5 linked regions of the Nothobranchius furzeri genome follow. The protein of the gene in region 2 purifies or fractionates together with the protein of the main gene of each other region. This does not show direct contact. Links are inferred from orthologs where the notes say so. Each region holds a gene or a part of one and is shown on either strand. Other genes may lie near its edges.

Region 1 (3,512 bases), on a different chromosome or scaffold from region 2:
AATGAAACACACATACACTAAGTCACTGGAAAATAACGGCTCGATATCAAAATAAGACACAAATGAACACAGTTCATGACAACAAGCTGGTATCAGCTGACAGAACAAGCTGAAGTAGGTTTTCAAGTAGCTGACCCATGAAGATTATTTAAAGCAGACGGTGTTGAAAAAGCAAAAAAAGGTAGGATCAAGAGCAGAAATACGCTAACGCGACTTACGTTTTTCTGCAGCGTCGCCCACAATGATCTTCCCGCCCCTTTTGCTGGTCTTCTCCACAGACAGGGCCGTGCTCAGGCCTTGCTCGTGCTTCCCCAGACCCTGACCTTCTTTGAAGCCGTACTTCTGCATGATCTTATGGGCCACCGTACCTCTGTTTGAAGTACACCATTAAGGCAATTTTAGTTTTTTTTTTTCCTTCTACTAGAAGTGTTTTAAAAGTTTAAACTCAAATGGCTGACCCACCCCATGTTTGCCAGGAAGGAGCTACTTGGTAAAGGAGGCGAACGGGGCCGATCGGAGTCTTCATACATGGGTGGAGGAATGGCTGCCTTGGAGCCTCTGGCAGGACGACCTTCATCTTCATAAGTATACGAAGAACCTAAACAGTTTATAAAGACACAATTATTCCCTTTGATAAGGAGAATTCTAACATGTTTGTTTAATGAAAATGATGATGTAAAATCATTAAAAAAAATACATCTGTTTTACAGGTCTTTATTTCTAGGCCAATGCTGCCCTCTGCTGGACGACTGCTGCATTAACTGAGGCAGCGTTTGGTCTGGATTCATCTCTCATTTGGATCAATTTGACCCTGGTTTCAGATTAGAAAACTAGATATGAAATCTAGTTTGTACTTTTGCACTTTACATTCAAACATTCAGCCTTTTTAGTCCATACAAATTCTGCTGATTTCAGAAGATAAATGTTGACAAAACCATCAATATCAGTAAATAACAGTTTTCGGCCATACAGCAATATTGTTAACGGATATCGACTTCTTTGTTTGCTCTCCAAGAAACCAAAGAAGTCCAGTTGCCTTCATTTGAAACCTTTGGATTACCATGATCTGGATGACTGAGAACCTTCACCAGCACATATTTAAAAACTGGAGCTCATTAATTAGGCCATCATTTATTTAAGTCAGGTAGTCCAAATGACAGCAGGGAGGCTCGCTAGATGTTGCACACATAGGCAGTGGGTATTATTTTACTCCAACAATCTGAATAGCTGTGTACATGCACGTCAACGGGAATGATGATAGAACAAAGCTACCTCCTCATCTGTGCCCCAGGCAAGCTGGTTCCCAAAGTCAGAGACTCTCTTGGTCAGCTTGCTTCCCACACCAAACCTTCTGTCAGGAATCTTGGCGTGACCTTTGACCCAGCTCTCACCCTGGATTCTCATGTCAGTTCTCTTGTTCACTCTTCCTTCTTCCATCTCAGGAACATTGCTAAGCTGAGTCCCATTCTGTCCTGCTCAGAACTTGAGACTGTCATTTACACCTTCCTCTCCTCACGCTTAGACTACTGTAACTCTCTTTTCACGTGTCTGAGCAGAACCTCCCTGAACCGTCTACAGGTGGTTCAGAATGCCTGTGCTCGGCTTCTGACCAAGTCCTCCAAACACACCCACATCACCCCACTTCTCCTCCAGCTTCACTGGCTGCCAGTCAACTTCAGGGTTCATTTCAAGATCCTGGTTCTGGTCTATAGGGCCTTACATGGACAAGCACCATCTTACATTGGTGATCTTCTTAGTCCCTACACCCCCAGCAGGTCCCTGAGGTCCAGTGACCAAAGCCTACTGGTTGTGCAGCACCAGGCTAAAGACCAAAGGTGACAGATCATTTGCTGCTGTGGCCCCCAGACTCTGGAACTCTCTCCCCCTGAGCCTGAGATCAGTGGACTCAGTGGTCTCCTTTAAAAAGCAGCTGAATACTCACTTGTTCAAGCTGGCTTTTGTATGACCTTCTTCACCACTCTCTCTTTATTCTGCTCTCCCCACCTACCGTATTCCACCTTCCTCGAGATTCACTGATTTCCCTCTTTCCTATTCACTCTCTCTTTCTTTACATAGTTTCTTTTAAATCCCAATTGTCTATTTTTGCTTATTTTAAACATATTTTGAATCAGTTTCTAAATTATTTTTTTATATTTTAAATTTTTTGTTTTTGTGAATCGCCTCGTGATTTTTGAGAGGCGCTATAGAAAAGATCGTTTCTTCTTCTTCAGGGCAGATCCCTGATGCTGGTAATGGTCCAACCCTATTCATTATACTTACCGTCTTTGTCTACAAGTGATGAAGGAGGGGCGATGGCTGCTCCACCCATACCTGACATGAAAAGAAAAAGTATGAAAATAACATACAACTAAGGATAATTTAGCACAACACCAGGGCACTCAGTGATCCTGTCATATCAGTGTAATACTTTGATTAACTGCAGTAAGAATACCACCAGACAAGCCGAAAAACTGTTTAAAACGGATGAAGCAACAAATGTTTGTTAACAAATCAATTGTTGTTGTTACAGCTGTGATAAGTGTGTGTGTGTGTGTGTGTGTGTGTGTGTGTGTGTGTGTGTGTGTGTGTGTGTGTGTGTGTGTGTAGTGTGTGCGTGCGTGCGTGCGTGCGTGTGCGTGTGTGTGTGTGTGTGTCTCCAACATATTGTTTTCTTACATTAGCCTCATTCCAGATGCAAGTCACTTTGGACAAAAGCATCTGCTAAAATTATAAACATAAAGAAACAGGAGAGGTTTTTTGGTGGTTTTCTTATGATAAAAGCTCTGATAACAAAGTCTGATTTGATTTGATTTGGAAGAAACATTTTTAATAATTTTGTTCAGGAGAAATGATTAAAAATGTACAAACTTCAGTTCTGTCTTTAGGCAAATAGAAAGAACTAATTATATTGCTGTAAAAATGACCCTGGTTCTGGTTTAGAAATATACCAGAATGTCCGTTCTTTATTTTTCTGTTAATTTGCAAAAAGTAGTTCATATGAGAAAAATGAAGCATAAGGTTGCATTCATAGGTTTTTAAAAGGATCAAAAACAAAACTCCATCAGATTATTTGGGACCGAAATGTGGTCCAATAACAACAACTTGCTTTTCCTTCAAATCCTGAACCATTCTTTATTTTGAGAATAACTTCTGTTACTAAAACAATCATATGTTGCTGCCTTAAAATCAAGTGAATCCCCAAACAAGTGAAAAAACACCTGCTTTTACAGTAGTTTGTCTCAAATATGTAGAAAAATATTAATGTACTGACAGTTTTAGCAGGAACCAGCTGCGTAAATCAAGTAGAAGAAAACAAAGCTCCTGGGTAAAAAGTGGAATATTCAAGTAAAATCCAAAATAATTAACCAATTCTGGTGCTGGAATAATTACTGATTAACACCAGGTTGTTAGACTTGGGCGGTATTACCGTATACAGCCGGTGTTAAAAAAATAGCAACAGTGTCAGTTCCAATACTGTCATGAAAAAAACAGTGATTAAAAATAAAAAAGAT
Region 2 (4,107 bases):
GCAGTGGGTGTGCGGGAGGCGGGATGTGATCCAAAATCACCTGAACACATTTCTAGGTAGAGTTAGATAAAGCAGGAATTGTGTACAGCTATATGTACGCAGTGTTTTATGGGTCCAATTTTTTATTTCTGCAAGTAAATTTTTTTAGTAAAGGATCCAAACAAAGTTTTATAAATAGAGCCATTGGACTTTAATATTTAATATATTTAATAAAAGAAGTAGCAACAAAAGCCGTGGAATGGGATACCAACGCTTCTGATAGGCCAGAATAAAAATGTAATTATATATTTAGATTTTTTTTACTGTCAGGAAAACAAACCTGAGTAAACAATGGGTAACAGAAAGAGACAACAGCTTAACTCTAACAAGCAAAAAAAAAAAGTACATTGAATATATTTAAAAAAATTAAAACGTACCCATCTTTGTCTTCATAAGAGTCCCTGAGATTTGCACTCACTTCCATATACCTCTGTGAGGAGACACAGAACATGACAACAGATGACATTAAACTAGCCAACACTGACTCACTGTTAGATCATCATGGTAATAGACTTGGCTCTAAATTACCATGGTAACACATAGCTTGACAACACCTAGCTCTAGAATACTATTTAAAGTGAGGGTCAATGCCTGGTTGGAGACGCATTTCATCCACATTTCCTGTTAGAAAAACGCTTCTGAAAGAGGCGTCACCTGGCGAACCGGGAGAGCGGCACTGAGGCAGTGGTAGACCGCACCCCCCTCAACCCCTCCGCGTGTGCTGTCGGAGTTTCTCAATCTAAAAACGAGTTGTTAACTAGCGCAGGCACACTCGCGCGTGCATGCAAGCATGCACTCACACAAGACTTACCGCTCAGGAAAAAAAAAGCAGACACAGATTCTGCAGCATTCTGGAGGATTTCCTTTTAACCACGATCATTAGATGAAAAGGGGAGGAGGGCATTACGCACATAGGGGTTGGGGCGCTCCGAGCACCCCAACCCCTATGTGCATAATGCCCTCCGGATCTAAGACTTTGGGTTAAGCTGTGTGTGAGATCAGTTGACAAATTCTGCTTCTTAGAATCTCCAGGTAGAAATATCAGACTGATTCAGATGTCATCATAGTTCTGTTAGATCTGAGAAGATCTAAATAAACATCAGATTGTTAAATAAAGCACATTACCTTTAGAAGCAACCAGCACACTGCACTGAGCTGATCAAGTATTTTATTCAACCACGACATACGCTTTCATTCAGGATCATGTTTAAATGTGATTCTTAAAATTATTTAAAACATTTTAAAAATCAACCTATGGAGGTCTGATCCCACCAAAATTGACAATAACTGGTTATAAAATTGAAAGTACATATAGAAATACATGATGCAATTATTAGGTGGGCTATTAGTATGAGTGTCTGCCCTGGGACTGGGATATCGGGATTCAAATCCACGGTCGAGTCACACCTAAGATTCGAAAAACAGGAACCAATGCCTCCTTGCTTGGCACTAAGCTTTAAAGGGTTGGATCGGGGGTTAAACCACCAAATAGCTCCCGAGTGCTGCCGTGTCTCCAACAACCTTTGGAGGACTGCCGGGGGTGGGTCAAATGCAGAGAACAATGTCACACATCAGTGTGACAACTAGTGGGACTTTAACTTTAATTCACCTCATCACCATATACCACAGGAAGTGTGAGGAATATAAATGAAGAAATGTATTAAAAAAATAGATGTGGAAATTAATAATTGTATTCATTTAACTCCAAGTGTGTTATCTTCAATTGTATTTCCTCATTTATTGAATTACTTTTTTTTTTTGCCCTTTCTTAATTTAATGTAAGCGTTGGCAGGATCAATCCTCCCTCTGTACCACCTGTTGGGTTTTGTGTATGAAGTCTGGATGTGTCAGTAAAGCCCTCTGGTTTCACTGCATTTTAATGAGGAGAACTTCAGATTAAAAGAGCAGCAGTGATCAACCTGAGGTTTTGATTTACTTCTCTAAACGTTTGGATACTATTAGTGAAAATTCAGTGAAAGTCCCCTGCGATGGGCTGGCACTCTGTCCAGGGTGTACCCCGCCTGATTGCCCATTGACCGCTGGAGATGGGCACCAGTCCCCCCCCCCCCGCGACCCTACGTGGCCAAGCGGGTTCAGACGATGGATGGATGGATGGTGAAAATTCACCAAAGTTACACTAAAAGTGAATGACGACCAAGGCAGGAACCAAGCATTACAGGTAACTCAATAAAAATAAAAGCAACTTTACCCAACAACAAATAAGCTTTATTTTCTGATATAACTTCTATATTACATTTAACAAATCAGAACAACATCGATTGCAATGATTCATAAAATTCAGATCTTAAGCACAATGATTGTTATTGACTCTATTACTTAACACGACGGAAAAAACTACACCACCAAACAACATTTAGCTCACTGGTGGAAGAGCAGCATTTCATACTTACATCCAACATGGCTCTTATTCGATGATCACAATTAATTTGATCCCGCAGCTGAAACAAGAGTCGAAAACAAATACGTGAACATTGCGTTGGTGTTAGCAACATGCTAATGCTAAAAGCTGCGCTGCTTACCGTGGTCTTTTTGTGCAACATTTCTTTAGTTTTTGCGTCCATCAGCCTCTCTTTCTCTTCGTGGTAGCGACGCTGTTGTTCCAAAATCGACTCCATCGTTTACAAAATGCTCAAGAGTTTAATGAAGACTGTTCAGGGTTGCTGCTGAAGCGTTAGCACAGCGCAGTATGGTACGTTGACCAAAGGCGTCTGTTCAGGAGTTACTGTCCGCTTCAGTACGGCTAGGAAAACATTTCCCAATTATTAGTTCCGCTGTGGTCACACAAACGTCCATAACGGTGACAGTACGGGATTCCTACAAGTGGACAAATTAGCATATATTTTATTTTTATATTATTAGAATTTTATGAAAGTTTTAAAATTATTATTTGCTGTCCATCCAGACCGATCCAGACGTGAGAGTTTGTGAATAATTCGACTGCGGACGGTTTTATGGATCAAAATAGAAATTTTCGTTCACGTGAGCTGTTTGAGGTTATTTTATTGTGAGCTATTTCTAATCACATCTCATCAAAGCCTGCAAAATCAGGACACACACACTATCCCAGCGCACACGCGGTGGAGCGCACTTACCACAGACCGGAAGTGTTGGCGCTTATAACTTGTTTCTTAGGTGCAAATGATAAATCATTCTCAAATGTAATACAACAATTTACGATGCATTCCACTGTCAGAGCTGTGTATAGTAATGTGACAGGATGTGATAAAACTAAAGTAGAAATGATATCCAACATTTTTATGATTCTCAGAGGTCTGATCCCATGTCATATATATATATATATATATATATATATATATATATATATATATATATATATATATATATATATATATATATATATATATATATTCCTTTTTATCTTTATAATTACCGCCAGAGCTTTTATTTTGGCAGTCAACACCGGAAACTCCACAGTAACAGTCGCTGCCTTGACAGTGGCGTTCTGGCTTCGGTACGTTCTCCAGCAGCAGCAAGTCAAAGCACCGGGCAGCCAGTGTTTGGGTTTTGTGGACTACAGGGACTTTGGGAACCGTTTTCTCCGCCGCGGTGCGTCCAGCCTGTTCAGGAAGGTGAGCAGCCAGTTTTCCACGGTGACAACACTCGCTTGCTGTAATGGATTTGAGGCGCTGAGGCGTTATCTGCGGAAGGGGGGGGGCGGTCGTTGTCGTTGTGGAGACGAGGTGTGGGGGGGTGGGGGGTATCCATTCTGTCTTTGTGCTACTGGGGCAGACCTGGCAGAGGTCAGTGGCAGACCCGCTACCAGAGGGCTGCTCCTGGTTAGCTGCAGCATCTTCCGACATCTACATGCTTGATGCTAACTCTTCATTTATCCAACAAAACAGGCGGAGCGGACCGGGTCGGAACGAGCCCGTGGGCTCCCCCGAACTCTCCGAACATTTAAACCCACTTCTCCGAGGTGTTGAGGGTTTTTAAAAACATCAGAAAGTTTCCTCAGCCCGGAGTAGCTCACCACGCTACAATAGAGTTCTTTCACAAACCAGGAGCAGCAGACTGATGAAACATCAC
Region 3 (4,271 bases), on a different chromosome or scaffold from region 2:
CGCAGCCACACACTTTCTAAACTATTTGAATAATAAGGAATGAGACTATTACTAAACATATTTGTAGTAATAACATGTTTCTGATCAATATTCTTCCTGAATGGTTTCAGCAGCTCAACTGAGGAAATGACATGGAAACAGGAAGTTGTGTCTTTTTAAAAGACGAGTTTCTCTAGCCGTTTAGACAGATAACGTTTCTATTCCGTTCCAACTTACAAATAAATAATAAAAATACCTAAAATGGAAAACTTGGATGTTTTCTACTTTTTCCTTAATTTAATGGATTGCTGAAATATTGGATTGGGACTCTGTATCTAAATCACATGACACGGATTGAGGGAAAAAGATCATTTTTGACTTTTTTTTTTTTTTGGTACCACCTCACAGAATAACAGAAGGACGTGCTGGGTCCCAGACCCAAAGCAGGGCTCTCACACACGCGACTAGCATAAAAGTTTCAAAGTTAAAGTAGGTCTACTCCACACCGAAGCCAGAGGACACCGCCTGGATATTAGGAGGAGTCTGCTGCTCACACACCGGTGTTACAGAAAGGAGCCGACCCTCTTGAAGCAGCAGCAGCCATGTTTATTAAAGGTGAACTGATCGCTCTCTAGTTTTTGTTGTTAACAAAAATAACAAATTTTGTTTTTCCATCAAACTATCTTAGCTGATCCATCCATCCATTTCTGGCCGCTTATCCAGGGTCGGGTCACGGGGCAGCAGCCTAAGCAGGGAGGCACAGACTTCCCTCCACAGCTCCTGCAGGGGAATCCCAAGGTGTTCCCTGGTCAGCTGAGAGACGTAGTCCCTCCAGCGCATCCTGGGTCTTCCTTTAGGTTAGAGATGGGCGATATGGCTCAAAATCAATATCACGATATATTGAGGATTTCACCTCGATAACGATAAATGGACGATAACTACAGGTATGCGCAGTAGAGCTGTAGCGATGCATCGATGACGTCGACGGCTCGATTCTAAAAATTCGTCGACGTCAGATCCGGTGGTCGACGCACCACGCCCACTTGTTGCATCCCCAGGAGTTTGTAAATAGAGGTGGAACCTGCCTGTTTTTCCTCTAGTCCACCCTCTTCTCCGCCTTCACTAACATCTCCACCAAATACCGAAGACCCAGAACAATGTCCGTCCGCTACTAGATTCCTTTCCTGTTTTGCCCGCCTTCGTCTCCTGGCAACGGGCAACAACTTCCGGGGTCAGATGCGCAGCTCCGTCTCTACTGTGTAAAAAACTTCTAAACCGAGTTTCTGTTATGCTTCTCTAAACATTGGTTCATGGGAGTCTCTAACCTGCAATTTGCTCTTTAAGGGATTTGTCATGTAATTTGTGTCAACAAACCAATCAACTCCAGGCAGAAACAACGTCCATGAAGGTGGCTCCTTTTCTGTGTTCATCTCTTTTCAGGCTAAAGACCAAAGGTGACAGATCATCTGCTGCTGTGGCCCCTAGACTCTGGAGCTCTCTCCCTCTGAGCCTGAGATCAGTGGACTCGGTGGTCTCCTATGAAAAGCAGCTAAAAACTCACCAGTTCAAGCTGGCTTTGGTGTGACCTTCGTCACCACCCTCTCCCTATTCGGCTCTTTCTACGTATTCCGCCTTTCCCAGCAATCCACTCATTTCCCTCTTTCCTATTCATTTTCTCTCTCCCATTCCTTACATTATTATTTTTAATCACAATTTACTTATCTTCATTTTAAACATATTTTTAATCGTTTTTTGACATCTTTCTAGTTGTTTTGTTTGTGAAGCGCCTTGTGATTTTTATTTTGAGAGGCGCTACGTAAAAGATCGTTTTCTTTCTGTCTTTGCTGCTTTCTCTACGACTCTTAACTGTTACTTCAACGTGAGCTCTCTAAATACACTTAAACCTGTTTTACTTACATTTGTTTTATTTATGTTTACCGTGAAGCGATGTGTGGCTTTTATCCTGTGAAGGCTGCTTTAAATGCAGAGTTGGCTTTGTTACATAAAATTTTCTTTTACTCTGAAAATGACTTCATAATAACACACACACACACACACACACACACACACACACACACACACACACACACACTTTTTGAAAACTTACGTTCGGATCTGTCGTATTGGTCCGTATTTTCCAAAGATATCGTACATCTCCTCAGCTGTGATCTTATAGGGGAGATTCCTTATATACAGGATTCTGTTCACCTCAGGAGGTAATCGGATCTACAACACCATTAAAACACATCATTAAACTATTCAGAGGGAACAAAACTAACCTGGGTAAAAACTCAAATACCTGATACATAAGTACACACGATTACTAGCTGAGGCCTTTTAAGACTACGTAAGTCACTTAACAATAGACATGGCTACTTTTAATCATTACATGCATTAGCTTATCCTTGTTTCCGTACCGGAAGGAACAAATATTCTTAGCCTGACGATATCCCAACGAGGATTATGTCTTCACAAAACAAAAGATGAAAAAACACATGACCTCAAATGGTAAGTATAACTAAAGTGAATATAAAGCTTGAAGATTTCAGGTTTTGAGGACTGTTTTCAATTTGCTAACCTGCTAGTAGTGCGCTAATTCTTTGAGACGCTTCCTCAGAGCTAAACCTAGCTTACATTTCACATTAGCCTTTCCTTTGTCCCCTTATATGCTCCATTACACTTACATTAGCACGTTTTGCTGCTTGCATAGCCATCGTAACGATTTAATTCGTGTAAATAACGCAGATAAACAACAAACACGCTGTTTTCACTTCAAAATGGAGGCTACGGTAAAAATATATCGAACTTCCGGTTTGGAATTAGGCTACAGATACATCCTTATAACGGTGCTGCCCTCTAGCGGCGGACAAGAACCTCAACCAGCCTGGAACAATTATCCTAACTATAGAAAAATGACATTCTTACAGAAATGCTATTTGAATACTGGCTGCTGAGGCTGATAACTGAAGATGCATAAGAACTGAACAGAACCTATACTTAAGCTCAACTCAGTAAAAAAATCCCAGAGTTTCTTTCAATATAATGAATACGAATAAAATAACATTTAAAACTGTATAGCAAACAAGTGTTAGTGCACTTTTTTTAAAACATGAAAAAATATTTAGGCTAAAATGTTCTTCTCGCTCTTCATACCAGTTGGTTCCAGAATTGAAGGGAGCACTATTTCCATTCCATTTTATTTTTAAAGCACATTTTTACAGGGCCGAGGCCAACCAAAGTGCTGCACAGTAAATGAGCATAAAAATCAACACACTGGAAGAAGTAATAAAAGTAGTACAGTAACTACTATAAAATCAATAAAGACAAAACAAAAACATCGTAAAATGCTAGCTAGGCTGAAGTAAAAGCTAAGGAATAAAAATGAGCCGTCACTGCTAGAGACGAGGCGCACAGACTGAGAAGGCTCGTTCTCCTTGCGTCCTCACCCGAACTCTTGGGACCTGTAACAGGTCTGCTGACCAAAGAATTCGACCAGGTACGTAGGGCTGAACCAGCTGAGTCAAGTAGAGAGGAGCATAAAGATAGAGTTACTTAAAAACAAGAAGTAAAAATTTAAATTGGATGCGGTAGCACACCTGGAGACTATTCCCTATTCGAGTAATTTGAGCATCAATCAGGTTTTTTCAGCACCTTTAATTTTAATATTTATAAAAAACAAAACACTGATACTGCAACTAATTTTCCTCTGAAACCTCAGCAGACTTTTTAAAAGCCTTTTTTATGCACAAACGAAACAACTGAATTAGAAAAAGGGAAAAGAAAAAGGTTATTGCCATGGTAACGGATGTTGCAGCACTGGCTTATGCTGGGCTTCACTCAAACAGGCACTAAGGTGAAGCTTGGGAGATGAACATCACATCTGGTCTTCACCGAGGCCGTGACCAGGTGTAAATCACATGAACAATGCATCTTTAACACTGCTCTGACTCAACTCTGTCCCCTAAAGACTCTAACCCCCCCAGCAAGACCACGTGAAACACCTAAAAAAGGACACCTTGGTAAATGTGCACACTACATTCAGTAGGAAAACAGTCCTTTCTACCATCAGAAACCGCCTGCATAGCAGCAACATCAGGACCAAGTCCTTTCTAATGTCACGTTTTGAGGATGTTTAGGACACAAATATGCAGAAACCCAGGATGACACGAGGCTGGAGATGATGTAAAGTAAATATGCTTTATTTTGTAGAACGAACAAAAATAAATCCAAAGGCAGTGAGCCAAAAGTCCAAAAATCCAAAAACCCTGGTAACAAAAACAAAAGCTCACTGA
Region 4 (4,133 bases), on a different chromosome or scaffold from region 2:
TGGCGCTATATAAACTTTAATTGAAGTGAAAATTTCCTAGCCATATTCCTGAAAAAGGGCGTGTCCTTTGACACGTTATAATAAATAGAAATGGTAAGAGAGAAGTGGGACTAGTAGACTGGGTTCACTCAGTTCTACAGCTTGCTGCTAAACGTTTACATGATCTAATAAGGTTTAATAAAACTAACAGGCTTAGGCTAATTTGAAAATGTTTAATGAAAAGATTTGAGTATTCCATCTGATTCATGTTCACCAATTATCTTTTCCAGTCACAAAACATGAAGACAGAAATAGAAAAAACATTTTATTAAGAAAAAGTTTTTGGAAAAAAAAAAAACGACTATGAACTCGGTGTTTCTCCTGTCTTCACCTCTTCTTGAAGCCGTACTTCTTCCTTTCATAGAACAGATCTGTCTTGGAGCTGCCCAGGTTTACGATCTTGGGACAGCCATCTCGCTGCAGAGAGGAACAAAATATTTAGAGACGTTCCTGCAGACACAGCTGGGCGTACGAGAGGAGGACTCACATCTTTCTCCTGGATGGTGCACTCTTTGCAGTAGTAAGCGTCAGACACGCCGGGACCTCCGCAGATCACACAGCGCCCCTGATAGGAGCCGTAGTTACACTCATCACAAATACGCACCAGCGTGCACGGTCGCACGTAAGAGTCGCAGATCACACACTTCCCATCACCTGGAAGAGGAAGAGAAACTAAGCTGGTGATGGGAACAATAATTATTTCTACATTTACTAATAAAGTGAAAGTGCTTCTGATCTTATTAGGTAACTGTAACAATCACAAGACTGACCCGCCGTCTCTTCTGTGAGTGTTTGGAACGTTAGGAAGAGTTTCAGTCACGTGTTTTTAAGTGTGAGTGGTTGTGAAACGAAGTGGGAGAGGAGCCAAAGCTGCACTGGAGGTGTTGGATAAGTGAAACCGGAGATCTGTTTAACTGCGACTTTTCCTATTCGACCTAATGGCTTCATTGACTTTTCTCAAAGCAAAATGTGGAAGTGACATCTTTCTCAGATTTAAATCTGAGCCTTGATCTGTGTGTACAGGTGCAGACTCTGCTCAGCTCGTGTCCTTCACCTAAACCAACTTCTGTCTCAGGGTCCCATCTGGACTCCAATGCACCAGAATGCCACGTTTGGAGTTTCTTTGATAATCCTGCAACATTTGCAATAACTTTAAAATTTTCCTGTCGGGTGCTTTTCCAGATTTTCTGGTTAAGTTGGCAAGTGTCCAGACAGGATGTCCACAGGTTTGAAAATTTCTGTTAACACATTCTTCTGTTGTCTCTTTTGTCCCAGCTGGGACACGCTGAACTCAGTGGATGGAGAAACTAGTTTTAGTGAAGTTCAGTGTTGAGAGTTTAACTTCTCTCAGACTAGTTTCAGTCTGGTGAACATCTTGGTTTGGGTTGTGACCTCGTTATTATTCCTCATGTCCAGCATGTACTGTCTAAAGGTGATTCATGTTTGCACGGTCTGTGTAGAAAATATGTTTTCTTCACTTACAGCCATACATCTGGACCCTGATTACTGTAAATGACCACCAGATTTTACCTGCATATGAGTCTGGGTCACGGGGGTTGCAGCCCCAGCAGAGATACCCAACCTTGCCTCTTTCTGAAGACCTCCTCCAGCAGGATCCCCAGGTGTGCCTTGCCCAAAGTGGAGGTACCTCCAATGTGTCGCAGGTCGACCTGGAGCCTCCTGCTGGCAGGACATGCCTGAAACGCTTCCCCTAGGTGGAGTCCAGGGGACATCCATACCAAATTCCCAACCCACCTCAGCTGGCTCCTCATCTTTAAAGACATCAGTCAGTCAAAAGCTCTGCCACGTGTAGCATATGATATATGCTGCCATCCCAATTTTGCATCATCACAGGATTCTGCCTCACTTTCAAGACCAATCCCAGTCTTTGTCCTCGATATCCAAAATCCTAACGATGACCTGCATATCTCCACCTCCACCCTAAGGCCTCGTCTTCCTTTTCCTTGTTGACACCTCAGATCATTTTCAAATTCTCTTATCTAAATTTATGTTTGATTATTTTAAAAATGCTGCTTAAATTTACATTGCATTGACTTTAAAATTCATTACGGATTTTACATTGGCATGGTTTTTTATAAGGTGGGTGTTTTTAAAGTGCCTATAAATAAAATCTAGAGGTTTAACAGCGTTTATGATGGTTGGTTCTTTTTAGCCGCCTTTACTCCAAGGAAATCAGCTAGATCTTTGGGTTAGAATTAGCCAAAAGCACAACGTTCTAGAGGAAAACCTATAACAGAAATAGACTTTACAGTAAACGTGTTAAAAGTGGAGACACTTACACTTCTCGCAAAGTCTCCCGATAGCTGCGGGAGGAAAACAGAACAGTCGTTCAATTAAACGTTTCAATTTTCAGGATAAACGATAAATTTGTACTTCTCTATGTTCAATACTCAGTTAAACGGGTTTAAAAACCATAAAATTGTTAGTGTCAACAGAGATGAAAACCGTAAAGACACGTCCAGCTCCGCTACTCATTTCAGTATTTATGCTAACAGTTAGCTTAGCAGCTAACACATGGCGCAAATCAAACGTGTTTCTGATATATCTGTGTAGTTTCAAAGGTACCGAACGACATAAAGTAAAGAAACATACCGACACCCGCTTGTTTTCGACAGAAGATCAAATCTGGGTGATGTTTAGCCATTTTCAGCTAACCAACGACGGCCGAACGTAATTCAGTTTTAACCTTTGACCGGCGTGCAAGTGTCGAGTTGAGTCGCTACCACCACCTAGTGCCTTCACCTTGTAACTACACTCTTAAAAAACGGGTTTCAAATAAACAAGGACATTGGGTGAAAATGCTGTCATTAGCCCAGAATTTAAACAAATTTCCAAGTTTTATGTTCACTAAAATTCTTTATCCCTCTGCTCCAGAGGTGATGCCTCATCCTGATACGAGCTGCAATGTCTCTGAGTTACCATAGAACAGCAGCAAAGTTAATAAAATTACAAAAATCCCTGGGTTGCTGACACTGTCTCAAAAGGTTCAACAACAAATAATGAAGAATAGGGAACATTTTTATCCAGGTCCATTTTATTATTTTCTTTTCAGTTGTTGTTTAACCACTAATCAAAAGCCAAGATGGATTTTCAGTATATATTTATTACTTTTGTCAGTTTCAAATCATTACAATGACCACTGTGAGTTCTTCTTTAACAGAATTATACCAACAAACATTAAAACAGTTAACTTGGCTAATATGACCAGCCAGTGAATTAGTCTAACTAGTGAAACAGGTCCACATTGCCATACCGGCTCCTGGTCTATGCAGCCAGGATCAGCCGGTTTTCATCTGTTCACCTACTGGTCTGACTCTTACTCCCGACTGGATATTTGCTCACAAAAACAAATCTGATAACGAAACAAAAACAATGACTTGATCACTAACAAAAGCTTTTGAGGAACTGGGTGTAGCTAGGGTGACCTTGGGGGAGGCGAGACAGTTCTGAACTCTCTTTTTGGGTCGGAGGGTCTGAGAGTTTATAAACAGCAGAGATTCATGAGACATAGCTCCAGCCGTCTTTTGATTCACATCTGTTACCATCTCAGAACGTCATCTACAGCAGCCGCTTATATCTCCATCGGTTCAGCTCCTCCTGCAGTGTCTTGTTGTGTTGTTTTCCCACATCTCTTCCATGCTCCTCCCATTTTCTGGCCTCCTTTTTTCTGGGGTTTGTCTTTTTTTAACTCCGCTCAGCTTGTCCTTTATGCTCGCCTCCATTTTCTGCTGTTTCTCTTTTCTCTGCGGTCTGATGGATCATGTCTGCCAGTGGGCTCTGCTCTGGCACCTGATGTCCCGACTGGATCATCTGCTCGGCCTTCTCTTGTTTCACTTCACACTGCGAGACTTTTTGAGGCTGGTCTGGGGGGTTGATAAGGGTCTCCATCTCCTCCACCTTCACCTGCACTCTAACGACTACAGAGACACAACCCAGTCACACAACAATGATCAAAAATGACCTTTAAACCAAATTTGAAGAGCCTTCACTTACTCTCTCTCTCCTCTGGTTCAGCCTTCAGCTGGACGAGCGGCGCCGCTGGACATCGGCTTTGAGAATCGTCAGTGGTCGTA
Region 5 (4,184 bases), on a different chromosome or scaffold from region 2:
TGTCAGAATGCGCTCAGTTACACCATCCCACAGATCCGGGTCCAGAAACTGTCTCGCCTGGGACTCTCCACCCCCATCTGGATTAAGGACTTCCTGACAAACAGACCAAAGTCTGTCAGACTCGGCCCCCACCTCTCCAGCACCGGCGCTCCACAAGGATGTGTTCGGAGTCCCCTCCCGTTTACACATCCGACTGCTCCCCGACCCATCTCTCAAACACCATCATTAAGTTTGTGGATGACACCACTGTGGTTGGACTCATCTCAAGGGGGGATGAGTGGGACTACAGAGATGAGGTCAACAGACTGACTGTGTGGTGTTCAGGAAACAACCTCCAACTGAACACCACAAAAACTGAAGAACTTATCTTGGACTTCAGGAAGGGCAGGGCCGACCCGGCCTTACTTTACATTCACGGGGACTGTGTGGAGAGGGTGCACTCCGTGAGCTTTCTGGGCGTGCAGATCTCTGATGATCTCTCCTGGACTGCAAACACCACAGCGGTGGTAAAAACTTCATGAGAGTGCTCAGAAGGAACGACCTGGAGGAGAGGCTGCTGGTCACATTCTACAGAGCCACCACAAAGGGCATCCAAGCGTACGGCATCACAACATGGTATGCAGGGTGCTCAGCTGCAGACAGGAAAGTACTGCAGAGGGTCATCAGCACAGCCCAGAAGACCACTGGATGCTCTCTGCCCAGCCTGAAGCACATTGCCAACTCTCATTACCCCAGTAGAGCAGGAACATCGAGGACTACTCTCACCCCAGTAACCATCTGTTTGACCCGTTACCGTCAGGCTGATGGTGCAGGTCACATAAAACCAGGGATAGCTTCTTTCCCAGAGCTACCAGAGTAGCAAACGACCACAAAACCAGATGAGCCTGTAAACCCGAGCCACACGTTTACTCTTACTATTAGTGTTTACTCAATATGCTAAAATTCTGCTTAACCTGCACAGAACCTGACTGATGCTGCTACTCTTTCTATACATTTGTAAATATTACTGTTGATTTTACGTTTATTTTATTCCGTATTATTTTACAAATTGCACCAAAGGGAGTGGCACTCCAATGTCGCTGTACAATAACAATAAAGTCTCTTCTATTCCCTAATACTTTTTTCTGGTCAGAATCGGCTCCTGTATGCTACTAGCCTTGTGTTTAAAACAAACCCAGTAAATGGATCGGGGCACCAGAAGATTTAAGGACGCTGGAGCAGAAACAGGTGATGAGGTAATTTCATAAAACCAACACTTCTGCTGCACTGAAGAGTCAGAGCAGCGTTTTTACCTTTAGCAGTGGTTTATTAAAGTCTTCAAGCAACCAGCCGAGATGACGCCGCAGCTCTTTCTACACATTTAATCAGACCACATCGATAACTTGTTAAGGATGACTGCACTATTCTGGAGTATTTTCACATACTTTCATGTTTGGTTTTCTGTGAATTACTCTCATATGACGATCCCTGATAACTTAATCATTTTGTCAGGGCTGGCTTTTCACTGAGCAGAGGGACCGTCTAAACCTCGTGGTAAAAAATTATTTTCATTTTGCAGAAACTCAAACTGATATTTCATTTTAAATATTTATTCCAAAAGATTACTTTAGCAGCAAAAAGTATGCAAATGTTGGAGCGGGTGACTACAGACCCCACTGATGCAGAGTCGTACCGTTCTACACGTCTTCCTGACAGCAGCTGCATCACACCGACGTCGTCTCAACTAAACGCAGATTACGCCAATGTTTTAATCTACAGCACATTGAAGAGTGACCAGCAAAAGGTCAGGCGGCCGTGACGCTGCTGCTTGCGTCTGACTCCTAATTAGTCTAGCAACATAAATGTCAAATTATTTAGTTCAATATAAGGAAGCTAAAGTGGTTTTTAAAAACGTGGCCTCCAGAATGCTCTTCTGAGTAATGGATGCCAGAGGTCTGACGGACATTTCAGCTGTCATCCCACTGTCTCTTTACTAGATCACAAATGTAACGGGTGTGGGACTCTAGTTGTGCCTCAGACTTATATATAAAGTGTTATTTATGAAGCAGGGGCAAATGATTGTGTTGAGGGGCATCAACACCCGGTTAAACAAATCTTGGAAAACCTGCATCCTAGTAAAACATCTGTTTAAATAAACAGTGTGTGTTCTTTACTGAAGGTAGTTAACTAAGGAGTAGCACAAGATGGCCAGTACGTTACTTAAAATACATTTTCTACATTTCCGATAATTACTGATATGGATCAACATGAAGTGTTCCCAGATCCTACTCGTCTCCATCATCCAGACCCTACCTGTGCAGCTCAGGGGCAGACCTGGACCATGGTGACACACAGAGCAGTGGGACTTACCAGACCCTGTTGTTGTTCATCAGCAGCGTCTTCAGCCTCTTTAGCAAAGGGAAGCCGTCCAGTTTTCTCACTTCATTATCAGAGAAATCTACAGTGTCAAACTGGTCCAGAGTAGCTCCGAGGTTTTCCACCACTGGGATCTTATAACCTAAAGATAAAGCAGAGCTAACACTGGTTAGCACACAAACACACACACACACACACACAACACTAACCTAGTCAGTTAGCCGTGGGTAAAGGCCCGAGTTTACCTCGTAAATCCAGCTCTCTGTCTCTCACAGGGTTGGTGTACTGAGCAGCCTGCTCAATCAGCTCCGCAGACAGCTTCACCATGTCGGACACGAACTTGGGCTTTTGTAACCTTTCTACAGCAAACTAAACAGTTTCACAGAGAGGTAAACGCTAACGTATTCCACGCTGCCGCCAGAACAAGAGCTTCTTCTACTTCCGGTTTGTCCGAGGACGAGTCAGTGGTAAATAGTGGTGCTACAGCGCCCCACCTGGAGTGGAGCTGGATCACTCATCAGTGCATAGGTAGGTGTTGAGTATATGGGATTAGATTTGTGCCAATAAGATGTTAAATTTAGTATATTTCCCAATAAAAAGTCCCTGTTAAGGAGCTGCAGCTCGTCTCCCTACTGGAGTTTCACAGTTTGGTAAAACTTCTCCAAGTTGGCAGACTGAGAAAATGCTGAAAAAAATCTAAGCTTTTGCTGCATTTATTTAAAGGAAAAGGTAACAGGGCTAAGTTGTTTAAATATGTGTGAATAGCCTAGCAGCAAATGAATAAAGCAGCAACCTGTAATTCCATGCTGTAGTTCTTTTTTAAACAGTTTTGTTTACCTGTTTTCCCGCTACATTTCGTTTGCAGCTGCAAACTTCCTCAGGCTGACGCTGATGGTGGCGTCACTTCCTTCTCTGTTTATCCGTGAGCAGCAGAGGATGTTGTCGCCCTCTGCTGCCCGCTCTCCCCTCTCCGACGATGCAGTCCCATGCGCGGTCCAACGTGTAAACTCCATCGTCCCTGTTCATGGTCCCACATCCACGTCACCTTATCTCGGTAGCTTCTTTTATTCATCTTTTGTATTTTTGTTGTTCGGTGTTTATGATCCTTGTGTTGTCCCAGTCCATTATATGGTTTTCTCTTGTGCAGTGATCTGTTACGGCTGACTTCTTTATTGTGATTTCTGCTTCTTCTTTTGCTGCTCTTGTGTGTTTTCGACTTGCCTCTTTCTCGCACTCCTTTCTATGTTCTATTGTTCGTGTGTTGAGTTGGCGTCCGGTTTCTCCTATGTATGTTTTATTGCAGAGTTTGCATGGGATTTTGTAAATGACTCCACATTTAAGTCCAGCTAGTATTTTGTCTTTTGGGTGTACTAGTCTGTTTCTAACTGTTGTGTATGGTTTTGTTGGTGTGTTTATGTTGTGTTTTTTCATTGTTGCTCTTATTTTTTCTGTTATGCCTTTAATGTATGGTAGGGTTATCACTGGTTTTGGTTCTTGGCTTTCTGGGTTGCTGGTTCTTTGCTTTGGTTGTTTTTTTCTTTCTGTTGTTGTTTGTTGTTTTCCTTTGTTTATTACCCATGTCGGGTATCCGCAGGTCTTTAAAGCATGTTGTATGTGTTTGTCCTCTTGTTTACGGTCTCTTTCTTCTGTTATTATGTTTGCTCGGTGATATAATGTTCTGATTACTGACATTTTGTATATGGTGGGGTGTTCTGATGTCCATAATAGATATTGGTCTGTGTGTGTTGGTTTCCTATATGTGTTAATGTTTAGGGTCCCTTACTCCCGTCCTCTGCTGCCCACGGATAAACGGAGAAGGAAGTGACGTC

What was found.
Region 1: the proteins of sf3a3 (region 2) and rbm17 purify together in Homo sapiens (affinity purification with mass spectrometry; 4 studies listed by BioGRID and IntAct, counting the BioPlex papers as one, with this or other methods). This does not show direct contact. The link is inferred for Nothobranchius furzeri from reciprocal best matches to the Homo sapiens genes SF3A3 and RBM17.
Region 3: the proteins of sf3a3 (region 2) and sf3b6 purify together in Homo sapiens (affinity purification with mass spectrometry; 3 studies listed by BioGRID and IntAct, with this or other methods). This does not show direct contact. The link is inferred for Nothobranchius furzeri from reciprocal best matches to the Homo sapiens genes SF3A3 and SF3B6.
Region 4: the proteins of sf3a3 (region 2) and phf5a purify together in Homo sapiens (affinity purification with mass spectrometry; 3 studies listed by BioGRID and IntAct, with this or other methods). This does not show direct contact. The link is inferred for Nothobranchius furzeri from reciprocal best matches to the Homo sapiens genes SF3A3 and PHF5A.
Region 5: the proteins of sf3a3 (region 2) and snrpa1 purify together in Homo sapiens (affinity purification with mass spectrometry; 6 studies listed by BioGRID and IntAct, counting the BioPlex papers as one, with this or other methods). This does not show direct contact. The link is inferred for Nothobranchius furzeri from reciprocal best matches to the Homo sapiens genes SF3A3 and SNRPA1.

The regions. Positions count from the first base shown.
Region 1 is NC_091741.1:60,753,345-60,756,856, forward strand, and holds part of rbm17 (splicing factor 45), read right to left. Parts: intron 2,332-3,512; coding exon 2,281-2,331; intron 599-2,280; coding exon 463-598; intron 371-462; coding exon 219-370; intron 1-218. UniProt on the Homo sapiens protein: Splice factor that binds to the single-stranded 3'AG at the exon/intron border and promotes its utilization in the second catalytic step. Involved in the regulation of alternative splicing and the utilization of cryptic splice sites.
Region 2 is NC_091751.1:25,496,958-25,501,064, reverse strand, and holds the start of sf3a3 (splicing factor 3A subunit 3), read right to left. Parts: upstream 2,802-4,107; 5' UTR 2,676-2,801; coding exon 2,580-2,675; intron 2,499-2,579; coding exon 2,451-2,498; intron 470-2,450; coding exon 417-469; intron 1-416. UniProt on the Homo sapiens protein: Component of the 17S U2 SnRNP complex of the spliceosome, a large ribonucleoprotein complex that removes introns from transcribed pre-mRNAs.
Region 3 is NC_091742.1:17,814,869-17,819,139, forward strand, and holds the start of sf3b6 (splicing factor 3B subunit 6), read right to left. Parts: upstream 2,813-4,271; 5' UTR 2,694-2,812; coding exon 2,664-2,693; intron 2,206-2,663; coding exon 2,087-2,205; intron 1-2,086.
Region 4 is NC_091756.1:28,019,746-28,023,878, reverse strand, and holds phf5a (PHD finger-like domain-containing protein 5A), read right to left. Parts: upstream 2,807-4,133; 5' UTR 2,705-2,806; coding exon 2,653-2,704; intron 2,364-2,652; coding exon 2,340-2,363; intron 694-2,339; coding exon 527-693; intron 457-526; coding exon 367-456; 3' UTR 292-366; downstream 1-291. Other genes in the region: l3mbtl2 (lethal(3)malignant brain tumor-like protein 2), read right to left, coding at 3,745-3,977, 4,054-4,133.
Region 5 is NC_091749.1:6,237,270-6,241,453, forward strand, and holds the start of snrpa1 (U2 small nuclear ribonucleoprotein A'), read right to left. Parts: upstream 2,808-4,184; 5' UTR 2,683-2,807; coding exon 2,601-2,682; intron 2,498-2,600; coding exon 2,350-2,497; intron 1-2,349. UniProt on the Homo sapiens protein: Involved in pre-mRNA splicing as component of the spliceosome. Associated with sn-RNP U2, where it contributes to the binding of stem loop IV of U2 snRNA.